Alligator mississippiensis: one gene and its partner. The protein of the gene in region 1 purifies or fractionates together with the protein of each later gene. This does not show direct contact. Links are inferred from orthologs where the notes say so. Each region holds a gene or a part of one and is shown on either strand. Other genes may lie near its edges. The genes, in order: NSF and NAPG.

The links.
Region 2: the proteins of NSF (region 1) and NAPG purify together in Homo sapiens (affinity purification with mass spectrometry; 3 studies listed by BioGRID and IntAct, with this or other methods). This does not show direct contact. The link is inferred for Alligator mississippiensis from reciprocal best matches to the Homo sapiens genes NSF and NAPG.

What each region holds. Positions count from the first base shown.
Region 1 is NC_081827.1:170,320,596-170,337,412, reverse strand, and holds the start of NSF (vesicle-fusing ATPase), read right to left. Parts: upstream 6,207-16,817; 5' UTR 6,128-6,206; coding exon 6,116-6,127; intron 852-6,115; exon of another isoform or gene 832-851; intron 1-831.
Region 2 is NC_081826.1:95,959,793-95,976,229, reverse strand, and holds the start of NAPG (gamma-soluble NSF attachment protein), read right to left. Parts: upstream 7,428-16,437; 5' UTR 7,355-7,427; coding exon 7,299-7,354; intron 5,236-7,298; coding exon 5,168-5,235; intron 2,594-5,167; coding exon 2,509-2,593; intron 1,647-2,508; coding exon 1,629-1,646; intron 596-1,628; coding exon 565-595; intron 1-564. UniProt on the Homo sapiens protein: Required for vesicular transport between the endoplasmic reticulum and the Golgi apparatus.

The DNA of each region.
Region 1 (16,817 bases):
CTTGTTTGTCAGTGTTTCAGCTGCTCTCCCTCTCATCTATGGCTGGCTCCTGAAGAGCAGAAAACAATGGATAGGTCAGTCCACAGGGTGAGTAGGTCTGTTCACCTAAGGTATTTGCATCTTTTTCCATCAGTTTCCCTATTTCTCTTGTCTAGGTCAGGGGTTCCCAACCCCTGGGCAATGGCCCAGTGCTGGGCCACGGCCCAGTGCTGGGCCACAAAGGGTTAGCTGCTGGACCAGAAGTGACCACAGACCAGCAAACCGCAGACTAGCAGTGACCAGCATACTGCAGACTCAACTTTTATACTGAGTATGAAAAAGGGTTGGCTACCTGGCCCACAGTATGCCAGTCACTGCTGGTCCATGGCTTGCTGGTCCACGGCTTGCTGGTCCTCAGCACAAAAAGGTTGAGAACCCCTGGTCTAGGTGATGTTTCTCCCAGCCCACCAGTTCAGTATGTCAATGGGGAAGGTCCAGCGGATCTCATAGGGTTTGTGAGAGCTCATGTGACGAGGCAGCCAATTTAGCACAGAGTCAGGTTCATAAGAGTCTATGAATGGATGTGTCATGATTTTTTAAAATCTAGTACAAAGACCTTATAGTTTGAATTTAAATGTTCCTTCTGTGGCACTTACAACCATGAGCTTCAGCATGAAACCCAGAAAGTAAAATTGAATTGAAATGGATCAGACCCTATATTCACTGTCAAAAATAATGGAAAAATGTAAAAACCACGGAACATCAATATGTTTGTTAACATTTAGAGTATTAAAATGCAACTTTAAAAAGTTGAGGGAGAGGGAGAACAGAAAAGTTGAGTCAGCAGAGTACCTGGGACAGTCTTGCATGAGGCGTGCCTACAGTTTATTCAGGGCACCTGGACCTCTTCAGCCTCTGCAAGAGAAGGTTGAGAGGTGACCTTGTGGCTGACTATAAATTCATCATGGGGTCGAAGAAGGGAATTGGTGAGGCTCTACTCACTAAGGCGCCCCTGGGGGTTACAAGAAATAATGGCCATAAGCTAGCTGAAAGCAGATTTAGACTGGACATCAGGAAGAACTTCTTCATGGTAAGGGTGGCCAAAATCTGGAATGGGCTCCCAAGGGAGGTGGTGCTCTCCCCTACCCTGGGAGTCTCCAAGAGGAGGTTAGATAGGCATCTGGCTGGGGTCATCTAAACCCAGCACACTTTCCTGCCTATGCAGGGGGTCAGACTCAATGATCTCCTGAGGTTCCTTCCAACCCTAATATCTATGAATCTATGAATCTCTTAAGGCTGAAGATCTTACATGGGAATCCCTTGGACCAGGGGCGGGCAAAATGCATCCCAGGAGCCGGATGTGGCCCACCAGACCATTTTATCCAGCCCACAGGGCCCCTAAAAATGTAGAAAATTAATATTTATCTGCCCCTGGCTGCCTGTCATGCGGCTCTCGATGGCGTGCCAAAACTCAGTAAGTGGCCCTCTGCTCGAAATAATTGCCCACCCCTGCCTTGGACCAATTCAGATACAAGTGTTAAGATGACACCACCTTTTAATGTTGAAGTATAAAGCTCCCTCTTATTTTAAGCCAATTCAACGTATTATACTAAGATTACTACCAAGAAAAATAAATGACCTCAAAAAAGAAAATGGATGAATATCACATCAGCAGAGGAAAAGCTAAATTAGTCCAAAAGTTAATATGTTTTTATAGATGTCTAATGACACCTTGTATCTGAAGATTTTGATTCCATATGTTAAAAGGGAATGGGGAAGGAGGCGAGACCAAAGACTAACAAACAGTGAAACATCCTAACCATTTCAGTGTTTCTACTAGGTTACTTCAAGCACAGCGAGTGTGTGTAGAGGGGTCTCTCTGTTCCTTGGAGACAGATATAGAAGACAAGGTGCATAACATTATGTGCCAACAGCATCCCAGTATTGTAAAGCACTGAGATATCATCTCTGCCATACAGAATTTGCCAAGCTTGGCAATTTCTATTACTATTTACCTGTTTACTCTCTGAATGCCCGCAAGGCATTTCATTCAAATCACACGGCCCTCTCTAGCAGTATAAAAGGAAGCAATATCTCCTAGGAACCCAACTGAAAAAATCATTGGTGATGACGACTCAGGCAAACCTAGTAATTTTAGAAATGAAAAGACTACACAGACATTGTTCTTCATTATACCATTTTAGTCTAAACTGTTAAAATTCACTTTCTGTCAAGTATTTTTTGAGCCCCAAATGACAGAACAAAATAAACCAGAACTAGGCTACTCTAGATTGCAGATACAACATATTTCAAAATGGTAAAGCCTTGTCATTGGTGTCCACAGGTTCCTGTACAATATCCCCAAAATAGGCTTTGGGAGGGAACTCACAGGTGAATTTCAGGTAACAGGTTTGTAATGAATTATCACTATCATATCACCTGATAGCAATTCCAGCATTACACAAGTGTCTCTGTAAAGCCCACAATCACCCTATAATAGCTTGAGAATGTTCTCTCTCCCTGACAATATACAGATTTGAAGGTGGTTTGGGCATGATATAAATAATCTTTAATACCTATATGTTTAAAGTTAAAAGGTGGATTTCAAGGTAATAAGAGCATCTATATACTACAAAAGCCATGGAGTAAAGCAGAAGTGGAAATAAAAAGCCTCCAGTATTTGGCCCCTCTGTATTTCAGAACTCTGACCTTCAGTACAAAACCAAAGGTGAACTACTCTCTGCATGAAGATATTAAAATACCTTTCTTTCATGGGGAGGAGGGACAGAGGATTAACTCTTCTTTACTCCTCCTCAGAGTCAAGGTCACAAACAATCTGAGCAGCCCAGCCATGACTGCAGTAACAGGAAGAATGCTCTAAACTAAATCCGAGTAATTTCTTTCTAGAGCAGTATTTTAAAAGTCATTTCCTAATATTAACACTTCATTATTTTGATTTTTTAATCATTCAGGAAGGCAAACCCAAGAGCTTTAAAATTCTGAAGTGAGGCATTTCCCCCATCACTGCTATTCAAGATAGCAGCAAATACAGAAATTGTTACATGGAACCATGTTCTAGCTTCTGAATGATCCACACCGTTTCACTATCCCCTGCTCTTATGCTGCTATCTAGCTCCTACTAAATAGAGCCTTTGCACCAAATTTGATGCATCTTTCTTAAATCTAGGAGAATCTGCTTAGCTGTAGACATGAATTTAAAAAGCATTACAGCATCATATTTTCAAATAATTATCAATTAATTTTAATATTAATATTAATGTTACATTTTGGTATGTTAGAAAATACTGAAATATATATTCCTACTCACTAGATCAGGGTGACCAACCTGCAGCATGAGTGCCACACAGCAGCATGGGAAGTCTCTAAATATGACAGATGAGGAGGGCAGAAAGCAAAAAGCAGAGCAGGAGATCAGGTACAGAGAAGGGAGCAGAAAGCAGAGCAGTAGATTAGACAGAGGAAGGGGATCACAATGGCACTCAGAGAGTGTTTAGGGCTAATTAGTGGCATGCCACCCAAAAAGGTGAACCCCCACACTTTCACTACGGAATGAACTTTTGAGTCATGTCAAAGAGCTACCTTAGGGTGGTAACTGAAATGTAATCATGCTGAGACCCATGTTGGCATCTCCTGGACTCAGTTACCTCAGGCATTGGGACCTGGACTCTTTGTCAGTCTTTTGCATCCAGTACCCTACAGAATCACTCTCTTAATATTGTAGTTGTGCCATATTCATAATACCTGACCTCCCTCAGAAGTCAGATGTTCTCTTCCCCCAGTTCTTTAATATAGAAAAGCTTGCAGCCTGTAACTCAAAGCTTCTGCTAGAGGATTATTTATTTTAATGTTTTAGGCAGTTGTACATTGTTTAGGCTTTACCATCTTGTATTATAGTCAAGTTTCATTTTAAACATCTTTATTTTTAATAATAAAATCTTTAAATAGCAACAACATTCATTTTAGTAAGTCAACCCTGGCCCAAGTATGTGTATGCTGAAGACTGCACCAAAACAACATACCCAAGGTAGCTTTACCTAATTGAAAAAGCAGAGTAAATTAGCTCATCCAAACGCTGCTGCAGGTAACCTGCTTCCAGCATTCAAGCCAACTCAAGCAAAAACATTTGTTACCTCTGTACTATTCTGCAGGCTGCAACACAGCAGCAGAGAGAGCACAGAAAAATCATCTTTGTACTTTTGGCTATTGGTGCAGCAGCCACAAGAAGCAGATCAAATCCAGCTCAGCTTCAACAACCTGGACTTGAGTATGCTTAGCATTTACTGAGTCTTCAGCGAATTTTCTGCTGAGCATGTGCAGAGGGTTTTACTCAGAGGCCTTCTCAGACAAGCTTACATGGAGGGAAGCTAAAAGGCACATCCCCTGATACTAGTCACGTCTTACCAAATTTCAAATCCTTGCAGTAAGGCATGGAGACACTACAGAAACACGTTTGTTTTTTCCCCCCCAACTGCATTCTCTTGATGATCTACAAGGTCCCTTCCGACCCTACTTCTATGAATCTATGAAATAGCCTAACCGGTCTTAGCTGAAACTTCCAAAAAACAAACAAAAAAAGGTGTTCAGATTGAGACAGCCTCTTGGCATAGACTATTTTCAGTCTAAACACTTCATGTTTGGCGAGCTGCAATGTACTTAAACCAACTGCGTATCAGGAAAAATGTTTGGAAACTGTAGGCAACACCATTCAACTTTTAAAAAGTTCAAAGATAATGCCACAACGGAGTTATAGGAACATTAAACAAGCAATAGATGTTTGTGACTAAAATCACTTTTTCCCTTAAAAATAGACTACTTTCCTCTCAGTCAGGCTTCTTAGATTTCACGAGCATTTATTCTCTGTTTTGATTATGTTGTGAACACAATGGAACACCTATATTAGCCATACAGTATTATTTGAAGGCACCCATCATTTGACAAGTTGCATTTTGATGCTAGAATAGCATGCTCTTAAGGGGATGGAAGGGTTATTAGGTTTTAAGCATATGAGACTCGGTGCTTTAGCTCCACTAGTCCTTAAAATAAGACTTGCTCATGCAACACTCAGTGCTGGAAAAGATAAGTTGGTGCAGTTAAGCCTTTATTTTTTAAATAACATTTGCCACTCTGCTTCTAGAAAAAGAAAGAAATCCTACAAGCACTCTCCTTTACTCGCAATCGTAAACCTGGAGATTCACCCTACCTAACTTCACCCAGAAAAGCCAGCAGCACAACCAGACGTGTTCTCGCGCAGTTAAAAACACTGCACCATGCAACCATTTCGTCGTCATCCTTCGCACCATCAGGCCAGACTGCTGCATGTGAGTTCCCCCTTCTGCTGTAAAAACAGCACCATTTCTAGCAAATTCCAAAAAAACGTGACGGGACAGGTGATGGATCAGAGGAAAATCCAGACAACATCTGATACAGGGTGGTAAAAATAAAACATGGAAGAGTTTACACGATATGAGACAGCCCTGTTTCGCTACCCGTCATGTCCTGACAACAAAGACTAGCGCATGTGCAGTGATCTCTCAGGGGTGCGGGAGGAAACGGGAAGAGGGGGAGACCCAAACAGATGAAGCCAGCTGTTCCAGGGGTTGTCGCTGCTCTCATTTTTATTGTGGTTCCAGCACTAGAAGCAAAAACAAGGACGGCATCCTTTTACGCAGCGTGGGCCCGCTCTCACTCAGCCGTGGATGAGAGGGGCTGTTTGGAAAACACCAGCTCTTAATTTTCACTTGTTTCTTTGACAGAAAAAAAAGGAGGGGGAGGGACACTGTTTTGGGTCCCCAAGCTCCGAAAACCTCTGGGCAGCGGGGTACGCACCTGACACGGGCCCGGTGGCCCCAGGGACTGCGGCACCGGGGGGGTGTCACGGCCAGCAACACCTGAACCCCGCGGGCCCCACTGGGCGCCTGCGGGCCATGCGTGCAGCCGGTTCGGCCCCGGGCGAGGGCTGCGTCGCCTCCAGGGACCCCGCCCGCGGGCAGGGGCAGGGGCAGGGGCGGAGCGGGAAGGACACGCTGCTGCCCCGGGGAGGATAAGCCGCCGCGAGGCGGGCAGGAGCGCGGGAGAGGGGCAATGCGGTCCTGCCCTGCCGCACCAGCTCACTCACCCGTCCCGCCATCTTGACCCGGTGCGTCCGGCTCCCAGCGCCGACTGACAGGCAGCTGCCGCGGCTCCCCGCCCCGCTACGCACGACGCAGCGTGAGGGGCGTGGCCAGAGATCGCCCTGCAGCGGCCGGACGTCACGCGCTGCCGGCGTGGCTGAGTTGCGCCGTGGTGCCGCCTTCGCTGCTCGCCTCCGGGCAGTGCTTCCGCGCGCGCCGGCTGTGAGTCTTTGCGCTGACGGCTCTCGGGGCACAGGGATTGCAGGGACAGCCGCATGCAACGTCACTGACTCCATGGGGGAAGGGGTGTCCACCCTATCCAGCTCCGCGGGCCCGAGAAGGGGCACATGGCTTCATAGCGGTTCGGGGCTGGACGGGACCTTGTAGATCATCGGGTCCAGCCCCCTGCACTAGGCAGGAAAAGACAACTGGAGCCCAGCGAGGTGACTGCCCAGTCTCCTTGTGAAGATTTCCAGGGTAGGTGACTGCACAGGGTTTGTCTGCAGGACAGACCCCCCCTCCTCCCCATGCCAGAACCAGTGCATGCCCTGAACCGGCCCCGTCCTACCACCAGCCCCAGAGAGGTTTGGAGCCAGATGAGTTTGATACCCCTGGTCTATGCCCTGTCTTGCAGTCTGTGCCTGGGGCTGGTCCAGGGCCCATAGGGCAGGCTCCATGGTAGGGCTCTGCAGGCTGGATCTGACCCAGGGCCTGCATATTTGACACCAGAGACATGGGGTGGAAAATTTTCCAGTGCTTTATTTTTTCCATGGGAGATTTTCCATTTCTAAAAATTCATTGTTTTGCAAAATTCAGTAGTAACAATAAATAGATGCCAATACAATATTAGGCAAGCTTGGCAGTTTCAAAGTTGTAATTAATGCTTTTCAGGTGATTATCCCTAGGAAGTGTATGAGAGAGTACATACATGTTTTACTGATTTATAAACAAGAGGGTAAATACACTCACAGAATAATCCAAACCAAAAATCAAGTTATGAATTCACCTAATTGGCTGTGCAGGTCAAATCAAAACCAAATGAACACACCACTAATCTCATGGCCAGCCTGTTCTATGCTGCAAAACCTGTGGCCACAGTGGGTCCTACAGCTAAGGGGCTCCCTGCATCTGGCTGCTCAATACCATCCACCCCGCCCCCCCCCCCCCTCCCCCGCCCTGTTGCCGACACTGCCACCACTGCCGCTGGCTTCATGTCCAGCTGCTTGCCACCCTCCCCCACTGCTGCCGCCACCAGCTTCTTCAAGTCAGGGCCCCCCAAAACTATTTGTTGCAGGGAGCCCCCAAAAATTGCGGGCCGGTCCTGGCTAAGTTTGTTTCAATTTCTCAAAATCTCTTGCTTCTGGAGAATCAGTCAGAAGTGCAATTAATGAAGAAGATGCAGTGTGATGATAAGGTGCCCTTGCCCATAGACTCATTGGTAAAACCATCCTTTAGTGAACGAGAATGTGGTTCAAGTAGTTCTGAATCAGGTTTGTCTCAATCTGATTCTGAAATGAAACTAATAAGTAGTACAAGTGATTCTCCAGATAGTGACAGTGAAACTGGAGGTGCCGCAATGACCTCAGTGGAAGAGAGTTAGACGCTGTTGAAGTAGATGAGTGGGCAACCATGGCATATCATGCACAGTTCTTTGGGTGTGCTAAAATTAGTGTTGACAGTCTTCAGTGCCTTTGTTTTTTTTCTTAAGTTTAAACAAACAGTGTAAGGGAAGTACACACTATTGTGCATTGTCCTTACATTTTTACAAGTATTCCAATAAAAATTATTTATTTCCACATAAAGCTTTGAATTTGTTAAAATATAACATTTAAACCACATTAAGTGTGCTGTACTTAATTTTTTTCCCAATCATATATTTCAGTTCAAATACTTCTGGCTATTGGGACATAAAATTAACATGGGGGAACTTTTTTAGGTTTGTTTACTAAATATAAGTCAAATAGACGTGCTAAATCAGATCATGCTCTATTTAGGGCATTCCAGAAAATTTTCCAATTCAAAATGTTCTGGAAAACCCACATCTCTGTTTGACACCCTTGCTATATGCTAATACAACATTAATGTGTGTGGTATTTATGACACCATTGTGCAGAACGAATGCATCACCACACAATTGCATTACATATCATACAACCTAAAAATTGTGCAAGAAACTAGAAGATGATAAAACAGTCTATTGTTTCTGTTATCCTGCTCCCTCCCATGCCCACTTTTCTGTCCATCTGTCTGTCTGATGTATATGACCATTTAGACTGTAATCCTTTTGAGCAGGGATATGTGTTTTCATTAGCATGCTGGTGTCACAGCCATGATGAAGATTTTTTGTTTTGCTGCAAGGCAAGTCAGATAAAAAATGTTAAGGTTGCAAAACCAGGCATACAGAAATTAAGAAATACAAATATTAAAGCTGACTGTGCATTATTTAATGGCATGTTCACATGCTGTTCTGTAAAAGGATCCCACATCTGTCAGTGCATAAGATGAATGATACTTGCTGATGGAGCAGCCATCCAATTTTTGTTTTATTTTCACTGTTCTGTGTGTATGGCTTTTGGCCTTATTTATTGCATACTATTCAAATCCTTCTCATAAGAATGCAATATTCTGAAAGATAAGCTAATAAAATATGATCTAATGAAGCTACCATTAAGTGGGTACATAACTGATTGGACTGGCAGCCATCAATAGCTCAATGTCAAACTAGAAAGAGGTAGTAATAAAGAGGGATTCCCAGAGGGTCTTTCCTGAGTCTAGTTCTCTTCAGTATCCTTATTTTCAGTTGACATCACTTTAGAAGACAGGAATAGGATTCAAAAGGATCTTGATAAATTAAAAAAAAAAGTAATGTTAAATAAGGCAAACTTCAAAATACTTGGGAAAGGAACAGTGAAATGCACAAATACAAAATGGGGAACGTATGGGTGAGCACAATACTGCAGAAGAGGATTTCTGGAGTTTATAAGGCTGATTGTGACTCAGCAAGGTGATATTGTTACAAACAAACAAAAATTGTAATGCATATTGATACAAATTTAAAACCCTTAAATTATTGCAGATTTTTTAAATTTCTAATTTTTTTTTCAGCCTGACAAACACAAGGGCAACACAATGAGTAGAGGTAAAGGAAGCTTTTGTCACCCTGTCATGACACAAAAAAATCTCTTCCTCTGCTCCAGTGCTCAGAGAACTGCACAACTTTACTTCTATGCCCCAATATGAAGGTATATGACACACAGAGAGAACCTCTGTCCTAGGAGTCCTTTCTTTATAATATTATTTGGTACTAACTTTCCCTAGTGCAAGGTTACCTGTCAATGGGAACATTTTTTCCCAGTATGCCTTTTAAAACTGGTCTTTTCATCTCTATGGTTACCATTTTGCAGCTACTTGCTGCTGTTTCTTGTCCTTGAGCTAATAAATCCTCTTAGTTTCTCTGGTATTTTTGTCTAGTTACCCCCTCTTGCTTGTGAGAAGTTGGCATAATGATAAGTTAAAATTTAGTAACTTTGACAAGATAAAGCAGGTGAAGACCTAGTAAGAGTAAGAAGGAAATATCAAGGACAGGGGAGGGAAAATAACTGCTCTGGCACCCCAGCTTTATTCTAAAAACAGCTTTGGAGGAAAAACATCAGTTTAGAATCCTTTTAAAAGCAGGGAGGAATGGACCCTGGTGGATTTCCACACGTGGCCAGTGAGGCACTCCACGGCAAAGGCACAATTGCCTGCTCAACTCAGGTGTGGTAATGAGAACTTCAAAAGTCAGTTGCTGAGAGCATGTGGGTATCCGTCAGAAGCTGGCTTGAGGTGATCTGCAGTACAATCTTGGCTCATCAGGGGCTTGTGTTGTGTATCTTTATATAGTCTGGATTCTACAAATAGCTACTTGTGCAATTCATTTTTTATATATGAGTGGGCCCCAGCCAGTTGCATAAAATTTTGCAGGATAGGGACCCAAGAGAAACATATTTTAAGTGAAAAATTACTGTGCTTTGCAGTTTGCTTAGCTCTAGCACACATGAGATGACACTGCTAAACTGGTGGTAGCATAGAGAATGAAGCATTCCTAAAGGGGAGATTTTGCAAGTGAAATGGCAGTACTGCATTAAAGTAGTTTAGGACTCTCCTGCTTTTTTACAAATAGAATTTAACTGATTCCTGTCATCCACCCTAATGTCTAGCTGTTTACTCTAGTCATTTATGCTAATTGCTGGGCTATAAAGGGCAGCCTGAGTTTGGGGAAGAGTCTATGAAATAGCAAGATGACCTTTAGCTTTAGGTGAAGGATCTGTGGAGTGAGACCAGCTGGAAGGTGGAAAAATTGAGCAAAAGCCTCTCTAGTTGCAGACAGAGGACCACAGGAGCAGAAAAGACCTGCATAAGGTTTATGCAGTAGACCTGAGTGGGTTGGGAAGGAACTTCTCTGAACCAATCTTTTGTCCAGACACTTTTCTGGTTATAACCACACCATACCATTGCTGTACACCATACAATTTCTTTCTGTGTTGTATTTCACAACATAGAGTGACTCAGAAATAAGGATCATCAGATAATTCCTGCAATATTTTGTATCTAAATGCAACTCTGCAACTATCAAACGTGACTCAAAAGCAGAGTGGTATCTGCACTGACTGCAGCATTTTTCTTAGAGAGATCACCGCTTTATACTTGATTCATGGCATGTAGATACAGTGGAGCCTAGTTATATTTTGCAGCCGGCAACGGTGCTGAAGCACTTATTATATACCCTCCCAGCTCTTATGCATACATCCATAAGCAAGTAAAACCTGAGCTGACAGGCTCTTTTGGAGGTATGGAACCAAGCTAATGTATAACTGCTGTGCTCCCTAGCAAGTTATTTTGCTATTGTGCTGTGCTTGAGTCCAAATAGTCCTTCACTGTCATTCCCAGGTTTTTCTAACCCTTGGATCCATCATGTCACTTTCCGCTTCCCTATTTTGCATCATGTGCTATCAGCGGATTCATAAGTATTTGTTTGGCATTTTAACCCTTCATTTCCCATCCAGCTTGCTTCAGTTTCTATATTGCTTGGTCCAGCCCTGAAAACGACGAGGTGCTTTGCATGCAGAAAGCTGCTAACTGGCTGGTGTGATTCTGGAAAATCACTGGTCCAAATATTCCAAATAATAGAATTTCACCCACGGTTATCCAGATGAGCTGATTTTAAAAGCCTAGTAGAGACAGGTGTCAAATCAACTACCATGCAGTGCAAGGAGCAAATCAAACACCTCAAGAAGAAACAGAAGCATTCAAGGGCAGGAAGGGTAGATTGTTGTTGAAGCTTAGCCCAGCAGGAGTTAATGGTTGCCTTAATTTTCATCCCCTCCTGGAAGCTGAGACTTGAATGTTTTTCCATAGTAAAGATGCTCCAGTTGGTCTGTAAGATCCCAGACAAAATCAAATACAAAGTAAGTGTTAAATACAATCAGATTGTTTATTTTTAGACCCAGCAAGCTGTCACATCTATGTTCCATAAGCCTGGGGAATAGATTTTCCAAAGCAACCTGACTTTGGGTGTCTAGCTTGAGATAGCCATCACAGCTTCATGCCTGCTGCAGTCTATAGTGCTCAATACTTCTAAAACACCCTGGTGCAAGTTGGTCACAAAACCAGAGGCCACTTTTTCAAACTAAACCTCATGCTGTTGCACAGGCCCTGCTCCCCACCCGTCTTACTTATGCAACCTTATCATTGGCCCCTGTAATGAGTACAGGCTTAGACCCTGTGAGCAAGGCAGACAGAGACATGCTTTGCTTGAGGGTGCACAAAGGTGGGGCAGTGGCATAGTACTACCCACCTGTCCAGGGTGTCCCCACATCCATGCCTCCATCCCCAGTGGCTGCTGTTGGAGGTGGGCATGCAGATGGACGGGACAATTAAACCTTGGCATTGGGGGAACAATGTGCGTTGTTCACTCATAGATCTGTGTCCATTCTACAGTGGGTTCCTGTGAGCTCCCCTGCACTTAACAGGTCTTTAAGTTATCTGCTGACACCTCATTCCTGCAGGGCCACTCACAGGTTAACAGGAAACAGAACAGTCCCAAAGGTAGCTTTTTTTTTTTTTTTTTACAGTCGGGCTGATTACTTCACCCCCCTGCCACGCTGGTGTCCACTAGTATTGATTGCTTGTTGAAGGGACGGTGATGGTGCATTGAGTCCTGTTTAGGTTCCACAGAGATGAGCAAACACCAGAGGGTGGTCATCATGGGATGTCAAGGGCTAGCGGGGGGTGAGGAAGTTGCTGGAAAAAATGTCCCTCTTCTGTTCCGTTTAGGGGTTGGGTCAGGGTCAGTTGGGGGGGGGGGGGGCATGGTCCTCTTCCTGCAATCTCTTGAACATGTATCAACAACCTTTGCAGCACCAGGACATTGGCCACCATAGTCGATCTGCTTTACCTGTGGCAGATTAAGATGATATGCCCTGTGTTGCATCAGGGTTGATGGTAGTTTTACAAAGAGATTAGATTATAGGTTTGTATGAGATGGTTGGATGGAGATGATCCTGCCTTAGGCAGGGGGCTGGACTAGGTGACCTCTGGAAGTAAGTCCCTTCTACCCTACTTCTCAGTGATTCTATGATTTGTTTTGCCCTGCATCCCTGGTTCTCGCCTGCAGGAGAAGGAGGTTTAAAAGAACTGTCCAGTGTCACCACAGGCTTTTTATGGAGCAGTGCACTGTCTTCTAGTGGTGACAGCATTGAGGATAGGCTTGGAGGGGGAGGGCATTGTAGGCATGGATGCTTGTAGTGTTCTCGCCTTTATGCTATGAGTTTCAAAGCATGCCTTCAGCCAGTATGTTGCAATGTTGGGGGAGCAAGGACTCTCCCGAGGGTGAGGGAGAGAAGCCCAAACTATGCACTAGGCTAGAGTCTCATTCATGACTGTTTTGATCTCTTGCAAGTCATGGGGAGCAAGATACTCATACCGCTCTCTCAAGTAGCTGTTGAATGTGAACCTCACATTCAAAGGGATGCTTGTTATCTCTGCAGACCGGTCATAGCTTGCTTGCCTCTTCCACCTCTGGAAGTCACCTAAAAGCACCATCTCCTCCAGAAGGAGGAGAGCATAAGTAGAGGGTCTGCATCCTGCCTCAGTGAACATCTCCTTTCTCCACTGTTCGGTCACTGTAATGCCTCGAGTAGGTGCTGTGAGTAAAACACCGCCCCCTAGGTCGGGGTCCCCCCACTTGCCTGCCACGACTTGTTGGTGTATGAAGAGAAGGTTCAGCGGTGTTCTCTTCCCCTATAGGCCCGAAGACAGGGTACTCACAAGTGTGCTGCGGTGTTCCTTAGGGCTCTGCCTCCCCTACACCCTGTCCACTCAGATATTCCGCTTGTTGCCCCGACGATCTACGTTGGCCCCTTAACTATGGGGTCCGGCGTTGGCTTCAGTAGTCCGGCCCATCACTGGGATGTTGATAAGGGACAATCTTGGGGATTGTCCCTTATCAGAGGTAGGGATTGGAAACTGGCTAATGTAGTCCCAATTTTTAATAAAGGGAGGGAGGACCCAAGTAACTATAGGCCTGTAAGCCTCACCTCGGTGCTCGGGAAGATCTTGGATAGAATCATCAAGGAGCACATCTATGGGGGACCAGCAGGGGAGATCATGCTCAGGGGATTAGCATGGGTTCATCAAAGGTAGGTCCTGCCTGACCAACCTGATTGCCTTTTATGACCAAGTAACTACATCCTTGGATGATGGTGTCGCCATGGACGTAGTCTTTCTAGACTTTAAGAAGGCCTTTGACACTATCTCTCACCCCATCCTCATCAATAAATTAAGCGACTGTGGCATTGATGCCTACACAGTTGGATGGGTAAAAAATTAGCTGATGGGGCGCACCCTGAGAGTAGTGGTGGACAGATCATACTTAAACTGGCAAGATGTGAGCAGTGAGGTTCCCCAGGGCTCGGTCCTAGGGCCCACACTGTTTAACATCTTCATCAGCGACTTGGACAAGGGGGTGGAAAGCATCCTGTCCAAATTTGCTGATGACACTAAGATGTGGGGCGAGGTGGACACACTTGAAGGGAGGGAGAGGTTGCAACTAGATTTAGACAGACTACAAAAGTGGGCAGATGAGAATAGGATGGGGTTCAATGTAGACAAATGCAGGGTGCTGCACCTTGGGAGAAGGAATCCACAGCATACATACAGGCTGGGGAGTTCCCCTCTTGAAAGCACAGAGGCGGAAAGGGATCTTGGAGTCATTATTGACTCCAAGATGAACATGAGCCACCAATGCCAGACCGCAGCCAGCAAGGCCAGCCATACCTTGTCATGCATCCAAAGGTGCATCTCAAGCCGGTCCAAAGAGGTGATACTCCCCCTCTATGCGACTTTGGTCAGGCCGCAGTTGGAGTACTGAGGTCCAGTACTGGGCGCCGCACTTCAAAAGGGATGTGGCCAACCTGGAGAGGGTTCAGAGAAGGGCCACCCGCGTGGTGAGAGGGCAGCAGGACAGGCCCTATGAGGAGAGACTGAAGGACCTGAACCTGTTCAGCCTCAGCAAGAGGAGGCTGAGGGGGGACCTGGTGGCTGTCTACAAGCTCATCAGGGGGGATCAACAGCAAATAGGCAGAGCTCTTTTCTCCCCAGCACCACCTGGGGTGATGAGGAACAATGGTCATAAGCTGATGGAGAATAGGTTTAGGTTAGAGATCAGAAGGTAATATTTTACAGTTAGGGTGGCCAAAATCTGGAACCAGCTTCCCAGGGAAGTGGTCTTTGCCCCTACCTTGGGCATATTCAAGAGGAGGTTGGGTGATCACCTGTCTGGGGTCTTGTGAACCCAGCATTCATTCCTGCCTGTGGCAGGGGGTCAGGCTAGATGATCTGTTCAGGTCCCTCCTGACCCTAGCTACTATGAAACTATGATAAGCCTGGAGCCTCACTCCCTGGTCTCAAGGGTCTGAGCCACAGGCATCTGGCATCCTCCACCAAAAGGGAGGCCTCTGGAATGATTTAATGCTGAGGGGCTGAGGATTGCCCATCCCCAGCCTGATGCCAGACACTGCTCCCTCTCCTTTGCTGTGGGGCAGTGTCTTCTGTGATGCCACAGCCAGCACCCGCCCAGCCAGCGTGTTCCCAGCTGACTTCCTTTTCTCCCCTGCCAGCTTCTGGCGAGGTTTTTAAATTTCCTGCGGTGGCAATGTCAGCTGCTGCAATCAGCTGGGTGCCGCCTCGCCTGGGAAGCAGCTGTTTGAAGAACCGGTCGCATGGCTCCTGCGCTGCCCCAGCCCATCCAGACAGTAAGTTTCCTGGGGTGCTCTCTCTCCCTCCGGGAACACCAAGGTTTGTCCCCAGTGTCCTCTGCGACTGTGGGGGCTTCTCGCCGCTTCAGTCACCTTTACCAGAGTCACATCAGGGAAAAGGGGGGGCATCCTGCAATGATAGGACAGAAGCTCTAGGGATTCGATTTCATCTGCCATGTTGGTAAAGCTGCAGTCCCCATACCTGCTGAGACACCATACCCCTAGCTGAGACATTAGGGTCTGGACAGTGAAACATGTCTGTTAGTACCTCACTTGGGAAAAAACACTGTCCCCCTAAACTTTAAGCTCCAAAGCATGCATCCGGGGGACAGACCCTGGGAATGATAAGGGAGAAGGTTGGGGGAAGACTTCAGGTAGATAAGATGGGAAAGGGAGGTAAAAACAATGTTTGGATCAAAAAAATTCCTTTGGAAAAGGAGATAAACTTACAGACCGAATTTAAATACACAGAGAAGGCACTAACTAATCAGGTAAAAACTTAAAATACAAAAAACTAATTCAACAGGTAGCAGCTTATACTATTCCTGTGATGTCTAATAAACTCCTGAATGTCAAGTTGCAGCACAAGGGCAAATTTATAATGCAGTAATTCGAAAGCATCTCTCCGACAAGGAAAATCATTCTGCCTTGCCTCTATCCCTAATCACATCTCATAACACAGAGGTTTCTCATCTGTGAGCAGAATAAAGGCTATTAATATTACAGTAAAAGACTCAGTAGACAGTGTTGTGCAGTGCAAGGGAAAAGGCTTATGTGCTGTCCTCAAATACAGCACATTAAGGAAGAAAATAGGCACTACAAAGAACAATGAGAAGGATCCAGAGTGGAAATTGTGATCATCGGCAGCCTCAAAAGAGGAAACAACTGAATGGATACTGCTGACTGAGCTCCATTCTGAAGCCTAGAGAAGTCCCTTCAGGTCCAGATCAAGGTACATGGTGTAGGGAGAAGCTTTCCAGTTCCTGTCCTGTGGAGTAATTGAATGTTGTCAGCCTCTACTGAATCAGTAAAGAGCTGCAAAGCAAGTTACCTGTAAACTGTGATGGAGTGATTTATCCACAGGTACAGGAAAAGAAGAATTTTTTCTGAGGAAACAGGACATATTACCTCAGTCATCCATCTTTCTCCATCGTCTCTGCTGAGAATACACACAGTGGTGTCAATCATAATTCAGTTTTAAGAGTAGACCTCTGGCAACTGGACAGAAATGTCTATGTTAGTTTTGCATGGGCCCCTGAGCAGGTATGAAACCAAAGGACTTGGGGAGGCTTCTTAGGGCCGCAGTTCACTGGAAAGGCGAGCTGTGGGGCAGAGGCAGTGCCTAATCCAAAATGTTATGAGTTTGCTAGTCCTGCAACAAGGCACTTGGGGTGACCCAGGAAGCATTTTC
Region 2 (16,437 bases), on another chromosome or scaffold:
TTCTCTCTTTCTTGAATTTCAATAGGAAAATGTGCAGCTATTCCCTGGTAGCCCAACTTTCCACTTGAGGGGTACATTTAGCTTAGATGACATACTTACACAAGTCCATACATACACTTACATTTCCAATTTCAGGGTTCAAATGAAATACTATAATTCTCTGAAAAATCTATTTAACTATTTAATACAAGATCATAAACTCCTTAAACTGACTGAAAGGATATAGCTACCTTAGTTTACTAAACACTACTTTACTAACTACTGAATAATTTCTTCTATTATTGGTTAGCTACTGCATGCAAAATCAGCCTCAGGATTCTGACAGGCATGAGGGGTGGGAAGGAAAGGCGAATTAAAATATTTCATTAATCAAGTTTTAACCAAAATAGAATGGTGCATGTTTAAAATCCTCCCAAAGGTCAAAAGGTAGGAAAGGTTTACAGAAGAAATGTTAGCACCACTTTAGATGCTGATAACGCAACCTGAATATTCTTCAGATTTTAAAAATGAACAAGAGCACAGTTGTCACGTATTTGTTTTCAACAAAATGGTCAATAAAAATACCTTTAACATCATGCCAGCTTGTTCATAAGCTCTGCAGAGAGAAAGGAAGTTAGTTTTATTCAAACACTGTTAAATTTTAGTAACTTGAAGCAGCATTTCTTACTATACAGCAAGAGTTATTGTATATCAACTAGTGGTGAATTAAACATTTTAGTACTAATATTCGAAAAGGCATATATCCCATCAAGCATACATTAAGCTTGATTTTAAGAAATGGTACATATGCAAGGGACCATTTCCATGGGCAAATGCTTTTGACCTTATTCAAAGCATGGGGAAAAAGGATTAAGTTTCCAGGCCCAATTTTTTTTTGCTTCTATAACATTGTGTGTGTGTACACAATTTCACACTGGTGCTTCAAACAATCAGACAATCTTTTCCGTATTTGTCTACAGCTGGATTAGCAGAAGGACAGGAAATATCGTGTGTTCTCACTTCACAGGCAACATTGGCAATAAGGCACATAATCATAAAAACGTTAACAAAAAGGTTCTTTTTAAAAAATATTACAGAATACCATATTTACTTGAGGTCTTTACTTAAGACATATGGTAGTGTCCATTAAGCACAGTTCCCCCTACTGCCGACTCTTCTTCAAGTCATGATGAGCCACAACACTGCATATCCAGAATCCCTCTGTCAGCCCTTCTTTCAGTGTGACATTTGATTAGCATGGCTCAGCCTTTCATGAGGTGAAGCTGGACCAGGTTGACCTGTGCCTCATCTACATATAAACCCACAGACTGACCTCACGCCATGTATCTGTCCCATGGGGCCAGAATGTTGAGCACCACTGACATAAACAAGCAATCCCAGTTACAGAAATTGATCCTAAAAGGTGCTGAAAAGCCACAAGTCTCTATAACTTTAATAGAAGTTCCAACTTTCCAAATATTTCCCAGGAAGTCCCTAAGTAAACCTGAACCTGAATCAGTGAAATCAAATGATGCTTTTCCATTTAGTTCCATGGAATCAAAATTCGGCATCTCTAAAACAAATCTCAACTTTAGATGTATACTGCAAACTTGGATACATGTTAAATTACCTGAGGAATTTACACTTACTTGGCTGCATGGAAGAGGCTGGATGAAACAGAAGCAAAGTTAAGGATATCAACAATAAAAATGACAGGTTTCTATATAGCACAATTAATTTATGAAAGTTGAAAGCAAAATAATCCCATTATCTGAATATTTGTTTCCCAGGTAACATTGAGAGGCGAAATTAATCTAATAAGGGCATGCATGCAAAATTGTTTTAAAAAAAATAAATTTAAGGGCAGATTATGAATTTAAGAGCCACTATAAAACCACAGGTGAAACTCAATTACATAAAACTGAAGGAAGTGTTGGTTATACTGTATTAAAATACTGTAATGATAGATTAATATTTTAGAATTACTTAATTTTTTATCACCCATTTCTAGGCAACACATTTCAAGAAAACAGACAAATAATAATTTACTGCAAAAATATAATACATTTTTGTTGGTTGATTCCTCCTATGTGAAAGGCACATTACAAACTCAAAGAGAAGGTCTCATCTAAGGCATGCATGCATGTAACATCAAGACCTGAAAGGAAACTAGAGCACTGGAATCTGTTTTAAAATGTGTGTCTGGCAGTAGTGCCATGCCATGCCTCCACTGTGGAAGGCACCGAACACGAACAGAACAAAAAGATAGTTCCTGCTCCAAAAGAGCTTCTTTTCTTCACTGGAAAGGTCAAAAAAAAAACCCAGCATACCTCTTGGGAGATGTTTCAAAGTTAATTCAGAAAGTCTGGCAATGTAAATTACTTAGTAGATAACTTAATCTTGTGCCTATACTCATTCATACATTTATAAATAAATAGCACATCCTCTTCTAACTCTCATCAGCCTAGTTTTAATTAACAATTCAGATTCTTCAGGCTCCTCAAACAGGAACAGCAAGTCAAAAGATACGCTTTATTATTTTCATGTGCTTCAGCTTCTCTCAAACAGGCTTCTTTTGCCTGGTCATACTGCTTGGCATTTTTAAAAGCAACAGCTGCAAGAAAGTTTAAAAAAGAAAATAAAAGTTATGCTGTTTGTTTTGTTTTTCTCATTTAGCTTCTTTTATCTACTGTGCCTAACACCTAGAGACAGGTTTTTATAAGGTACTTAAAACATGACTATATGCATCTTTAGATGCCTAGCTGGATATCCAAAAAGGCTTGAATTATTGTGGAAAACCCACTATACAGCTGTCCGCATCTTTAGAACTTAAATACTATTAGAAATCTGATCCATAATGAAAAACTATACTTAATTACACCGTCAAGGCAAAGACTTACAAGGCTCGTAAGTTGCTTGTTTTCAGTACTCTCTTATTTTATAAATGTAATCCAAGTCTTTTTAAAATCAATAGCTTTAAAAAATCTGAGATATAGTTTATTTTATTCATTAATCAGAACTGTTGCTGAAGTCTTACCTACAATATTAAAAGTGATGCCTGGTGACAATTCCCCCTCTACCTTCCAAGTAACATGCATTTAAAAACAAGACTCCTACTTACAAAATGCGCCTACAATAACTACGAGCCTTCATAATTAACGATGAAGTGCTACAATAAGACAGCTATAACCTATTTTTAATATGGATTTAAAAGTTAAGCAAATTCTGCTTTGCAAGTTGCAAACACACAACTTTACAAAAAGTTGCAGCTATTTCCATTAAAAGGATTTTTTTTAAATTGAGTCTCAAACATAAGTGAATACTAAGAAGTGATAAAGGCAGACAAGGTCCCTTGGGTGAATCTGGTATCTTTTATTAGACCAACCCAAATAGCTGAAGAATAGTTATTAATAATGTCCTTAGACCAACACGACTACAACCTACACCCCTTCAAGAAGTGATAAACTAAAAACAGATTTAAACTTGAAAAATCCAAAAGGTTCTCCTTAATCACAAAGACATTAAGAGCAGGAAGAAAAGGTATTTCTTTATACAGCAAGCAATCCTCAGAGTTTCTCACAGACTCTGTCTCTCACTCTAAATTCTCTCACATGAGGGTTGGAGAAATAAAAAAGAAAGAACGATCTCTGGTTCCCTTCAAATATTTCTATTATCTGCCTCTAGCCACTCTTGGAACTTTCCCTTTATATTTCAAAGCCCAATTATTTTTCATTTCTTGCACACATTAAGCCCCTATTAAAGATAAACGAGTTCACATGCAAACTGGCCATTAAATCAAGCCCCTGCTTAAAAACAAATGGAAGAGACTATCTGTTCCCCATGATAAGAGGTTCTGGATTTTATTTAGCTGTCAAAACCAAACATATTTTGAAAAAAAAAATCATGATTTACATTTACAGGTTTATAAAACTGTTACAATTACTAAAGGCAGGGATGTAAATATAGTTTTAAAAAATAAGTTTAACCTCCTCTACTTATACAGGTTTTATATATACTTATATACACACCCTGCCCCAGCCCTCTCCCCTCCCCTCCTGGCCACCCTGCTGCCTTCCGATACACACACGTTTCCCTCACTTAATGCTGTACATGCGTTCCTGGAAAACGACACGTAACTCAAATTTGTATAAAGGGAACCCACTTTACAATGCAACAAATACCTCGACTGTACTGACCCCCAGACCCATTTCTACCACTTTTACAAAAGTACTCACCAACAGCACACAGTACACGCAAGCACAGGGCACTATTATAATGGGGATGGCAAGTACAGAAACACATGCCGCAGACAACAAGCGAGAAGCGCAGATCCATACAGGAGACTATATTTTGGTGCACATCACTCCCACAATGCACCGCACAAAGCAGCTGTGGGCTTCCACCACAATGATCACATACAAGTGAATTTACCTCGCATGTAACCAATTTTTGGTATAAAAAGGGTCATCGCATAAGTGAATTCACACATACAGAATTTGCATAAAGCAAGGGAAACCTGTATAAACATACATATACATATTAGCCAATTGCCCGTCATGAATGACAAATTTAAAATAATGGAGTGTTTACATGGCCACACACACACACGCGCGTGCTCTCCCCTGGCCACTCTGCTGCCTTCTGATTTCTGCTGGGCCCTATGTAGCTTCCTTCCTTCCCCTTTCCTGCCAGATTACACCCACCCAGAGCTAAAAGATAACCCATTAGCTAATCAGTTATCACTGCACTTATTGGTTAAGCAATTAATCATATAAGCTTTCACATCCCTAACTAGAGGCAAAACTTTTTTATGGCATCTTTTATTGGACCAACTGAAGAACAGCACTTTGTTTAGCAAAGTTCATCTAGCATCTCTTCTAACTGTACTGCTGGCCCAATAAAAGATGTCACGAAAAAAGCCTTGCCTCATGTATTTCCTGGACCATCACAGCTACAACAACTTTTCAACCTTAGACTTAGTGACTATACCAAATCCTTAGGGTAGAAAATGCAACATGCATTTTTACAGTAAAATCTGAGGGATTTTCAGTTATATACACACACACAATCATTCTCTATAGAAAACATTAATTAGAGAAGTGAGATATCTAAACCATTATTTAGGATTCAACTACTAGAATATTTAAGCTAACAAATTATTTTTTTTATAATTTACAGTCATACATACCTGCCTTCCCATATTCAGTAGCTGCACTATCATAGTCTGGTTTCCACTTTAAGAATCCAGTTTTCAAGCTGAAATGCAAAAAAAAAATAAAAATCATCAACTATAAAATGTTCATGCTTTATATTTAGAGCCCAAATAATCTTTAAAGGAATCCTGAAAAGCACCTAAGAATCTCTACATTAGATAAAAATAGAGGCAAAAGAAATAAAATGATTCACCTTGTGACACATCGGTAAAAATTCAGATGTTCCTGACTCGTGGTTCTCAGAAAAGATCTTTTTATTTACACAGCTTCATATAGCAACATGCAGCAAACACTTATTACCAGTGGTTTTAAAAGTTACCAGATAACACAATTTAAAAAAATCCATGATGTAAAAATATTTCCATCCTCAATATTATTTTTTACTCTAGGCATTTTAGTACTAGAAATGCAAGACTTACAAAAACACAATTTTTGGTGTTATTTGGCCACTTCACACCAATTCATGTCCATATTATTTTTGGCTTTTTACTTGAACAAAATCATTCTGTTGCATGAAACTATAGGATCAAATACAAGACATTTATTTTACAGGAGTTTTTGAAAGTAGAAGCTCCCCCTTTCCTTAGACGAGCCTAAAACTATTCTTGTTGAGAGGACAGTTAGGCATAAATGCACTTTTGGTGGGTGACAATTTAAGATGCATCTCACCTGGTCCCAGATGTTTTATAATGTTTTAAACCAGTGACTCTCAATTTTAGACTCAAGGCACCACTCAGGAGACTCAAGACCCCACCTGGAAAAATACCAATTCCTAATTGTCATTTGATGACAGAAAAATAGTGGAGCGATTCTTCTGTCGCAAACAGCTTGGAAAGACTTCAACATGGCCGCATGTTTTTGACATGGTGGCTTCGTAATTGAAATCTCTGGGTTTATCTTGTGAATCACCTTTCTACACCTAATAGTGATAACACTGCATAGCACCCTTGAAAGTATCTCAAGGCAACCCAGAATGCCACAGCACCCTAAGAATCGCTGCTTTAAGGTAACCCATGCTCATAGTACTTTTGATGCCTTCGACTGCCTGCCGCAATAACTTAGAACAGCACCGCTGGCACAGCTATCCCATTCAGTGCATCTGTCCTCACTGCCTGAATGCAAGCAGCAGGGATCTGTCCTCACCTCCTGGGCACACCAGACTATCCAGTGTCAACATTAAGTGACTTGCTGTAAACACTGGGCTGTCTCAGGAAGCCGCCCATCAGTTTGGCTCCCCACAGGCTGACAGAGAACAAGACTTGACTGTCCCCGCTGCTCTCATCAGACCCCTTCTACCCAGGTGCTTTCCTCAGCTCTCCCACTCCTGTCCCCTCCAGGCCCCTAATCATGGGGGCAGATGGGGCTTAATGTGGGATCAGGCAGAAGGTCAAGCAGGGCTGGGGGCACCTCAGAGGCAGCCTGGCTCAATGGGGCAGGAACCTGCTTTGAGCCAGGGACACCGCCAAATGGTTCAATGAAGCATGGGTGAGCCTGGGGCCATGGCAGCGCCTCCCAGGTTTCTGGTATGGGGGTGCAGGTCGTCTGTCTTCCCAGGGAGCAGTAAAGGAGGCCTCCACCCCGAAAGCTCCATCCCCCCAGGCGTTGCACCCCCCAGCCAAACATCCATTCCTCTAAGGTGCTGCTCCTCCCCCCCAGGTACCATCCCCCTCAGGCACTGCCCCCCCAACCCTTCCCACCTCCTCTACAGTGAAGGCCCCCCCACTTAGATGCCCCCCCCCCCCCCCCCGGGAGGTTCCATCCCCCTGAGATGTCCCCCCAGGTTCCATCCCTCAGGCGCCCCCCGCTCAAGGTTCTATTCCCCTCAGTCTCCGCCCCGTCCCGGGGAAGGTTCCATCCCCTTGAGACCCCCCGGACCAAGATTCCATGGTTCCATCCCCAAGACACCCCCGCAAAAAGATTCCATCCCTTCAGGCACCGCCCCTCCCCGCGCGAGGTCCCATGCGTTGCATTTTGGGAGCGGCAATTCTCCTTCCCCCCCATCGCCAGGCGTCCTGGTGCCGGGGGGAGCGGCTGCGGATCCCCAGAGCGCCTCCCGGGCCCCGACGCCCCGCGCTACGAGGAAGGCAAAGCACCGGCACCGCTCACTATTTATCAGCCTTAGCAATGTGCTCCAGCGCCTCGTTAATTTTCTGCGCCGCCATTGCGTAGAGGCTGGGCAGGGGCCGCAGCAGCTGCGCCACCGACGTCAAGGAAGGGCGAGCTACGGTGCGCCGTGAGGCTCAGGCCGCGGAGCGGGCGGGGCCCGCCTTCCTGCCCCATAGGCCACTGCGCCTGCGCGCCGTGCGGGGGTGGGGCGGGGAGTGGGAGGGGAGGCGCGAGGTTTGGTGATCTGCGCCGGGAGAGCGGGGACTTGCTCTTGCTCGCACGGGCCCGGTGGCAGAGGCTTGCGCACTGTGCTGCCCACGTCCACCACCATCCGTGGCCGCGTCCTCGGGGGCTTTCTCCTGCTGGTGCTGTGTATGGCACCCCCGCTTCTGCCCACGCATGCCATCATCACCCCTACATTTGCCCCGCGGGCTACTCTAGCGCAATGTTTCTCAACCCGTGTGTCCGACCCAAAAGTGGTTTGGAGGAATATGTGAAAGGGTCATGAACAAACCTGAAAAATGGATTCTTCTTTAAAGGAGAAAAACAGGAAACCCGGGCTTTTCCCTCACAGGCTGGCAGAGCTCTGGCCTGCGAGGGGCTGCTTGGGGCCCCCCATTCCTTCCCCATGCACACGGGGCAGGGGGTCAGGAGTGAGGGGCATTGGGTTGTGACTGGCAATTGATGTTTATAAATGGGTCCTGGTCCAGAAAAGGTTGAGAACCACTGCTCTAGCGGGCCTCTGGAAGCCCCTTCCAGCTCTGCTTCCCTGCGTGACCTCAGATGGGTCTTAAGGCTGGTCACAGAAGGACTTGGGTGCAACCGGACTTGCCCAAAGCTTGAGAGCAAGACATAAAAGCTGTCAGCAAACCTAGAGCATGAAAGAACTGGGCTGATTTAGCCTGGAGAAGAAAAGACTGAGGTGGGGTTTGATGGCAGTCTTCAACTACCTGAGGAGATGGAGATGGGCTTTTCTCTCTGGCCATAGGGTAGGGGTTCCCAGCTTTTTTAGATTGTGGACTGGCAAGCCATGGATGAGAAGTAACCGCAGACCTGCAAACTCCAGTCCAGAAGTGACCGTCATCATGAACGCTATGTGTCCCCAGAGGCTTAGGGGGCATGGCGAGCTCCCGCAGGCAGTGGCGGCGCTATTGGCGGCAGGAGCGCGGCGGCGGCGGCAAGCGGGGAGCTCCCACAAACGGCCACAGTTCTGTCAGCAGTGGTGGGGAGGGGTGGCGAGCGCCGAGCAGCAGTTTGGCGACCAGCTGCAGGCACCAGTGGCAATGTCGATGGGAGTGAGGGGGGGGAGCGGTGACTGCCTGCAGGTGCTGCCAGCAGTGTCAGCAGTACCTTTTCACAGGGGGTTCGACGCCACGTTCGGGGTGCCCATGCACCCATGGGCACCCCATATACATCACCAGTGATCCGCATACTGCGGAGCAGCAGCCAACCATTTTTTATACTCAGGGTTGGCTGCTGCTCTGCAGTATGCCAGTCATTTCCAGACTCTCAATCCGGCAGCCAACCCTTCGCAGCCTGGTACTGGCCCACAGCCCAGGGGTTGGGAACCTCTGTGGTAGGGGACAGGACTAGGAGCAACTGCTTCAAGCAGCAGCACAGGAAATTTTCGTTGGAGACTAAGAGGAACTTCCCGACAAAGAGGGTGGCGGTGCATTGGGACAGGGCAGGTGAAGCTGCCTAGTGACACTGTGACCAATCCCTGGAAGTTTTCAGGAATAGGCTGGACAAACGCTTGGCTGGGATGGTTTAGTCAGGACTCACTCTACATGGAGCAAGAGGCTGGACAATCTGACCATGTGAGTTCCCCTCCAGCCCCATTTACGTATGATCCTATGGGACTTCCCACTCATTTTTTTTAAATTTCTATGAGACCTTTGCGTGTAAAACAAGACCAAAACACTCCCAAACTAATTGTTTGATAGTGAACAGCCACATTTCTCTTACAGACGCATGCACCCGTGTTGTATTTTTTTGTACCAAAGTTACCTCTGCAGTCAGCAGCAAAACAAGAAATATGCCGCCACATAACAGGAATTACTTAATACCCAGATTTATTATTGGGCTGAATATGTATTGACTCTTGTGACTGTAGCTATGATTTTACTCTTGTGATTTTACTCAGAGCTAAATCACATCACCTATCCTAGAGCACAAAAGAAGAATAGAAGGAGGTTTCTTTTTGCAAGAGCAGGGTCGATCCCCTTGAGTCCTGAAGACTGCACTAAAAGAAACATTCAGCTAATGGTCCATCTCACCACGAGTGCCACTGGCCGCCACCAACACTGTTGGCGGCACCTATGGGTGGTTGCCACCCCCCACGCTGCCGACAGTGCTGGCAGCATCTGCAGGAGCTTGGCTTACCACCACTGCGCTCCCATCGCTGCCTCTTCCCTCCCGCTGCCGCCAGCACAGCCATGCCCCCGGTCGCTGAGAGCACGTACTGTTCATGCATCTCACATTATGTACCTGTGAGTTATGACAAAGCATGAGCTGCTAACATGGGAGGATAAGACTGGACGAGATCTTTGAGCCATCAAAGCCAGTCCCCTGACAACCATTTATTCAAGGAATCCCCCAAAATCACCACTTCAGACCCTCTCACACAACTAAAAAGCACTTTTCACAGAAACATCAACCACACCCTAAAACGGGGGTCATCAACCTGCCACACGAGTGGCACAGGCAAGCTGTCTGTACATAGCACATGGCAGATCAGGAAGAACACAGCACAGCAGCAGATGGGACAGGAAGCAAAAGGCAGAGCAGGAGATCAGGGAAGGGGCACAGGGCAGGAAGCAAAATGCAGATCAGCAGATTGGGCACAAGAAGGGGGAAAAAGTGGCACTCAGGAAGAGTGTGGGGTGGATTTGTGGCCCCAACCTGCCTGACTTGTGCCCCCAACCTGCCAGAAAGGTTGGCCCCACTGCCTTAAAAACAGGGGGTTTTAAAGGCTGGGGGCCAGATTGTCCCATTTTGTGTAAGAGGCAGGCTGTGGGGATGGACCCAGATGCTGCTGCTGCTTTTCCCTGCCACCAGCATGGGGAAAGTGTCCACCAGAGAAAAGCAGAGACAGGCATTTTCTCTGCACAGGGAAAAGACCTGCTGACATCAATTTTACCTGTGCCCAAAGCCATCACTTTCCCCCATGCCTGCTGCCGTTGCTTTTCCCCATGCTGACATAGGGAAAGCAACTCTGGCTGAAGCCCCATGTCTGCAAGCCAGATCAAAAGACTCCACAGGCTGGATATGGCCTACAGGCCATAGGTTGCTGACTCCTGCCCTAGAACAATCCTTAAGTATAGGAGGAGACAAGGGCACTGCCAATGCTCTGCCATTGCAATTACAAGGGGGCAGTTGGTTAATATATGCTCAAAAGATCGTAGGAAAAGGACAAAGCAAAAACTGCACAGTCCATGCCAATGTGACCTAAGGAAATATTTCTTCCTGATCCCCAAATCTGGTGGAATATCAAGACCCTTTAGCCAGGGATTTCTTATTTTGCTGAGTTCCAGCCACAGCATGCCCCAGCCCCTCCTTTAGGAGGGCTGTCCTCCCAGTGTTTCAGAGAAAGAGTCCCCACAGCCCCCCTATCCATTAGTATCATTCATGAAGTGAAAAAAGGAAAATTATCTCTCCTGGACCCCAGCTGCTGACCAGCAAAAGCCCTGAGTCTGTATCCCAATCTGGAGACTGCAAACATGATTCTACATACTGGGTAGCTGGTGGGAGTATAAGGGGTACTTGGTGATACGAATCCTGTAGCAGATGATGTCCCAAGAATTCTCTTCACATCCTTGCTGACAAGTTTGGTTTTTAGACTTCCTATCCTCATTACTTGGCCTTTCAACTAATGCTAGTGTTTGGTGAGAAAGTGAATTAAGAGCAACCAGAGAAATAATAGAACTGCTGTTTTATAGGTATAGAATAACCTAAGTGAACACTTCTGAAGCACCCAAAGCATTTTTTTTAATTTATATTTTCCTGCCCTACTCTGTTCTTTGGTTATAAAAAGCTATTCAATTCCAAATGAAATTACATATGTGCACTGTCTGGTTACACTTTACTGGAATGACCAGGATAAGGATTTCCAAGAACAGCATTGTATGAAATAGGATATTCCTGGGTAACTTTTAGTTCATAGACCCAAAAGCTCTTTGGTAGATTTTACATCTGGGAAGAAACAGATCACAGCATCTGATGCAGTGCTGTGAATGATCATTTGTTTAAAAGTATACAGGTATTGTATGAAGAAACTTGCATACTTACTGTAACAGAATTGCAAATGAGAAGATTTTGTAAATATAGTCTTATACATTCTGTTTAAATTAATATAGAAGCAGATGGCTCTACGTATTTAACTGTAGGAAGCTATTATGCAGGAACTTGCTGACTCTCTCTTTTCCCCAGATGGGCATGTCACAAGTTGGTTCAGTCCCACTTACCAAATGTGACTGTTCCCATTGGAAGCAGCTGCTAAATTCTACATAGTCCTTTATCCAACTGGATCTGGGTAGTGACAGTCACCGTTGCTAGTTCTGGGTCTCCTAGATGAGAGATTGCACCTACAGGTGTAGATCTTGTGTCTCACATCATTCTTGGGCAGTAGGACCATTCAGAATAGCCACCAAACCATTGAAGCCAGTGCCTTAACCTGCCAGAGCTTCCCCTCCGGGTGCTGAGACACATTTTCACCAGTCTGCTTGGCTTTGGGAGCTCTGATTTTCCTATCTTCATGGATAGGAAAATCATGTGACAGTAAAACAGAAACACGGCAAAGGAACATCTCAAACATACCCACTTTACTTTAAAAATAAACACTACGCAAAACAACATATTCCTTGACATAATCACTCTAGTCTCATTTCTCTTTGTGATTTCTCAGGTTTGGTCAGTGTCTTCTCCCTCCACTTGCTCCAGGTGGGTCTTCTATTTCTGACAATGTAGTCCCTTGGTTCGCCTACAGCAATGGTTCTCAAACTGGGGGAGACATACCTCCAGGGGTAGTTACCTAAGTTTTAATAATGGCAGCAGAGCTTCTGATTGGTCAACATGCAGTGAGTAATGGTGGTGCCTCATTTGATGTTGGTGTTGACACCTCTTCCTAAAAAATGAATATGCAGAAATGTATCAGGCCTACGGGGTATAAGGAGCAATATTTTGCAGGTAAAGGGGTACATGGCCAAAAAAATTTGAAAAACACTGGTCCAGAGCACATACCATTTTTTAAAAGATCTCTGACATATTTTCTGTCCCAGTATTTCCACTAGGAAATTTCCAAGTACCATTCTTTCTTAACCCTTCTTTCCCACCCTTGGGTTCTAGAGCAAAGTGGCCTTGAGTCTGTCAATGACCTTGCTGATGGGAAACTCCTGGTTCCACTAAGGTATTCAGCTATTCAAAGTGAATGGCCCTAATTGCTCTATCACATCGTCCCAGATACAATTTTTCCATAAATTCTCAGGTTCCTGCCAAAACAATTCTCAAAGCCACACTACACATTACATGGAAAATGAAGTATGAACTATACCCAAAATGGAATTTAGAAGTTGACACAGACCTTGCCTTCAAACTGTCACCATACGCTCAAAATGAGTAGTGCCTGAAATGGCTTCTGGAACAGATGCAGGAAAAATCAACACAATTTTTGCCAGTTTAGGAAGCCCGATTGTCTGTTTCCACTATTCTACAAGGTTGCCAAACTGCACAATGAATGGTTCTTCCAGATGCCATTGCCTGCTCGGTATCCATAAAAGGGGGATTGAGGAAACAGAAGCCTGAAGTTTCCTCTCCAAAAGCCCAATCCATTAAAATCAGGGAGTTTCCACACTTTCAATTGTGTACCTCATCAGCTGCACAGTCTTGTATTGCTCATGCAAGATTTTCAGAGGAATGATAACAGATTCCCTATTTTTAGCTTAAATTTTGCCAGCACTGGTCCATCTGACATTCTGCAACATAATTTAGTCAGACAGCCCCCAGCAGCTACTCTGTCACTGAGCTGTATGCTTCTGAATCAAGAAGCCCTGGACAGAAGCCTCCATAGAATCCTCTTCTGACTCTACGTTTTAGGGGGGAAAAAAGATAATATTTTATATTTCAGCCTATATGTGTGTCTTTTTCAGCACATTCCACAGTTAAGTGCATTCTCAAAGCATGCATATTTGTCACAACAATGAAAACAGCTTGGTTTGTGCTTATTTCACTTGTCAACTGCTCAAATGACTCAGCTGTACCAATTAGTCTCTGCAGCATTCCCTTGAGATAGACCCTTTAATCCCTTAGCATAATTCACTTTCAGAGCTAATTTATTTTTAAGCATACATTTTAACATAACATAATTTCCATCCTATGACATCATACATTAATTAGGTAACTGAAACAGGCTTTTTTCTTTGTGTAATGTGCAGTTTAGAAACTACAGTGGAGTAAAAAATGCTTACAATTACCAGTGACTTAGTAAAAGTAACCATTATGCTTTCTCTTAACTGTTGTTTACATAAAACAGCATAACTACACATACAGTATATGTGTACATCAGACCAAATTAAAATGCAATCAGAAACAGCGATGCAACTGTCTCATACTTCCATAGTTTTTAGGAAAAATATCCCACCTTGACACCGAATTTTCATGTGACCTTTTGGAAAAGTAGTCCCACTACATATCCTGTTGTGGCCTTCCAGCGCAAAACAATGATTCTTGAATTCAACTGAGTAACTAAATTCGGCAGCTATGCTCAGGGCTGGACACAGGCATGGGTGAACTGGGCAGCCACCTGGGTGCCGGACAGAAAGGGGCCCTGAAAATGGTAATTTTTATTATTATTTTTATCATTATCTCTGGTGAAGGGGGGCCCTGATACTAAAAGTTTGCCAGGGGCCACCAAAAGTATAGGTAGGGTGCTGGCTAGGCACAGTAAGACTTGGTCTTCTTGCTCTGAGTCCAAACATCAGAAGCAAAGGAAGCAGATCCTGCAGCCTTTTATCAGTATTAAAACTTGCTAATGTACACTTGCATGTGTACTGCTGAAACAAAAAATATAGAAGAGGATTTGATTATATTATTCCAGTAGTTTGAGCTAATACATTTTACATCATCTACAATAGTGTATGTCTGTATAGCAAGTATTACTGAAGTGAATGAAGGTTTTCTAGACTCCTGAAACATCTGGAGTCTCCACTGGGCAGGACACTTCTCTGGACTATACTGATTAAATCCAGCTATTTAAATGTTTCATCTTTTATCAAAACTGCAAAAAAACCCTTGTCCCTCTGTATGAAAGAAGGACAGCTGTAAAAGTGTTTACATGTTAACTAGACTTGGATCTGAGCCATAATATTTGGATTCACTTGGGCATATCAACTTTCCTACAGCTTGGTGAGGAGCAGGGATTGGCATTCATACTTGGCGTTCCAATGTATGGGCCCATCTTTCTCATTCCAGTGTCAAACTCTATTTAAGGGGCTTTCATCAAGGACAATTTGAAAAATGTGGACAAACAAGGCTGCATTGGGTGTTCTGGGTCACTTTCCTACAACCATGGGAGAGACTGTCAACAGAAAAATTCCAATGGACAATCTTGCTGCCCTGGGCAAGGGCTTAGGAGATATAGGTTCAAGTCCCAACTTTGACAAAGAATTTCCATGTGACCTTGATAAAGACCTTCATCAAAGTTACTTCTCTGTGCCTTATCTCCCTTTCACCAAAACTGTGATCATAACACTTCCTTAATCCTGTCCAAACTGTACGCTCTTCTGAAGTGAAACTATCTTTTCTGTTGTGTTTGTAGAGTCACTGGTACAATGGGGCCCAGTCTCAGCAGGGGCCTAAAGACACTATTGAAATAAGTAATGCTAAATAGTGGTTGCTCAGACTAAGGTTGTTTATCTCCCTCCACTGAGAGAGCACTGAGGGCAGCAGAAGGTGACACATGGCTTTTAGGCCTAAACTACTCCTAATGGAGAGTAGTGCTTCTGCCCTGTCACCCAGGGTGGCACAGGATGCTGCTGCTGCCACCTAAAAGTTTTGTAGAGAAAGAGTGGAACAAATGGGCATCAGATCAAACAGCTAACAAATGGGGCTAGCCATTTTTTTTACAGAAGCCACAGACACATAACTAATTTCCAGGCTTGATAGAGACTTCCAAGATGCAGAAATATTTTAAAGGAAAAATTAAGTGCCATCCCTCAGGGATGCCTGCTTGCTCCCAGAAAAGTACTGAGCCTACACCAGTTGCCATTAGGACTATTCCATATGTGTGGACTCCAAGAGCTTACAGTTTGGGTTGTTTGAAATGAAAACTCTTTTTAGTGTACTTCTTAGGGATCCATTTTTGATAACAGACACCTGCTGTTAGCCAAGGCACAAGGATGTATTAACAATATGCAGGAATTTGAAAGCTTGGGCCCTTGGGAATTTATCTGCTCTGACTACCATAAACATAAGCACTTCATTGGGGTGATGACCAACAAATAAAGCAGTATAGCCTACTTGAATTATACAGAATAAATAAATAGTGACAATCTAGAAATACCTTTTGAGCTAGAGATAAGGCTTTAACAAACACACGGCAGGGTTGGTTTTGTTTTTGTTTTTTTGCTGCAGTACCTTCTTAGCCACATTTTTTGCCTTTGGCACAGCTAAAATTTTATATTTTACATGTGTCACATAAAATTGACTATTTATAATGACAGATTTTTAAATAATCCTCCTTTCCTTTCTGTCTGGCTTATCCTGATGAAATAACAAGCTGGGTATTATAGTTTGAACACGAGTGATTACCAGTGTGCATGAAGAAGAAAACCCGCTGGTGGTTTTTTCAGTAATGGAAATGTTAAATACTGTGTGAGAGTAATCTGGCAGGCCCAATCAGATGCTTTTGTGCCAATCCCAGATAAGCAGTCAAACTGTTTGGAAATATCCACATTGCAGCATTTAAGTTAAGCCGGCAAAAAAATATTACAGCCATCATAAACAAGGCACTGTGTTGAACCTACTGTTATGTCATTTAACCTCATTTTCTTATCTGGAAACCCTAGCAAAACACTAAACCAGATTAATTAAAGTTCCCCTTTAAAACATCATATTCTCCATGTTCAAAATCAAAAGGAATATTGTT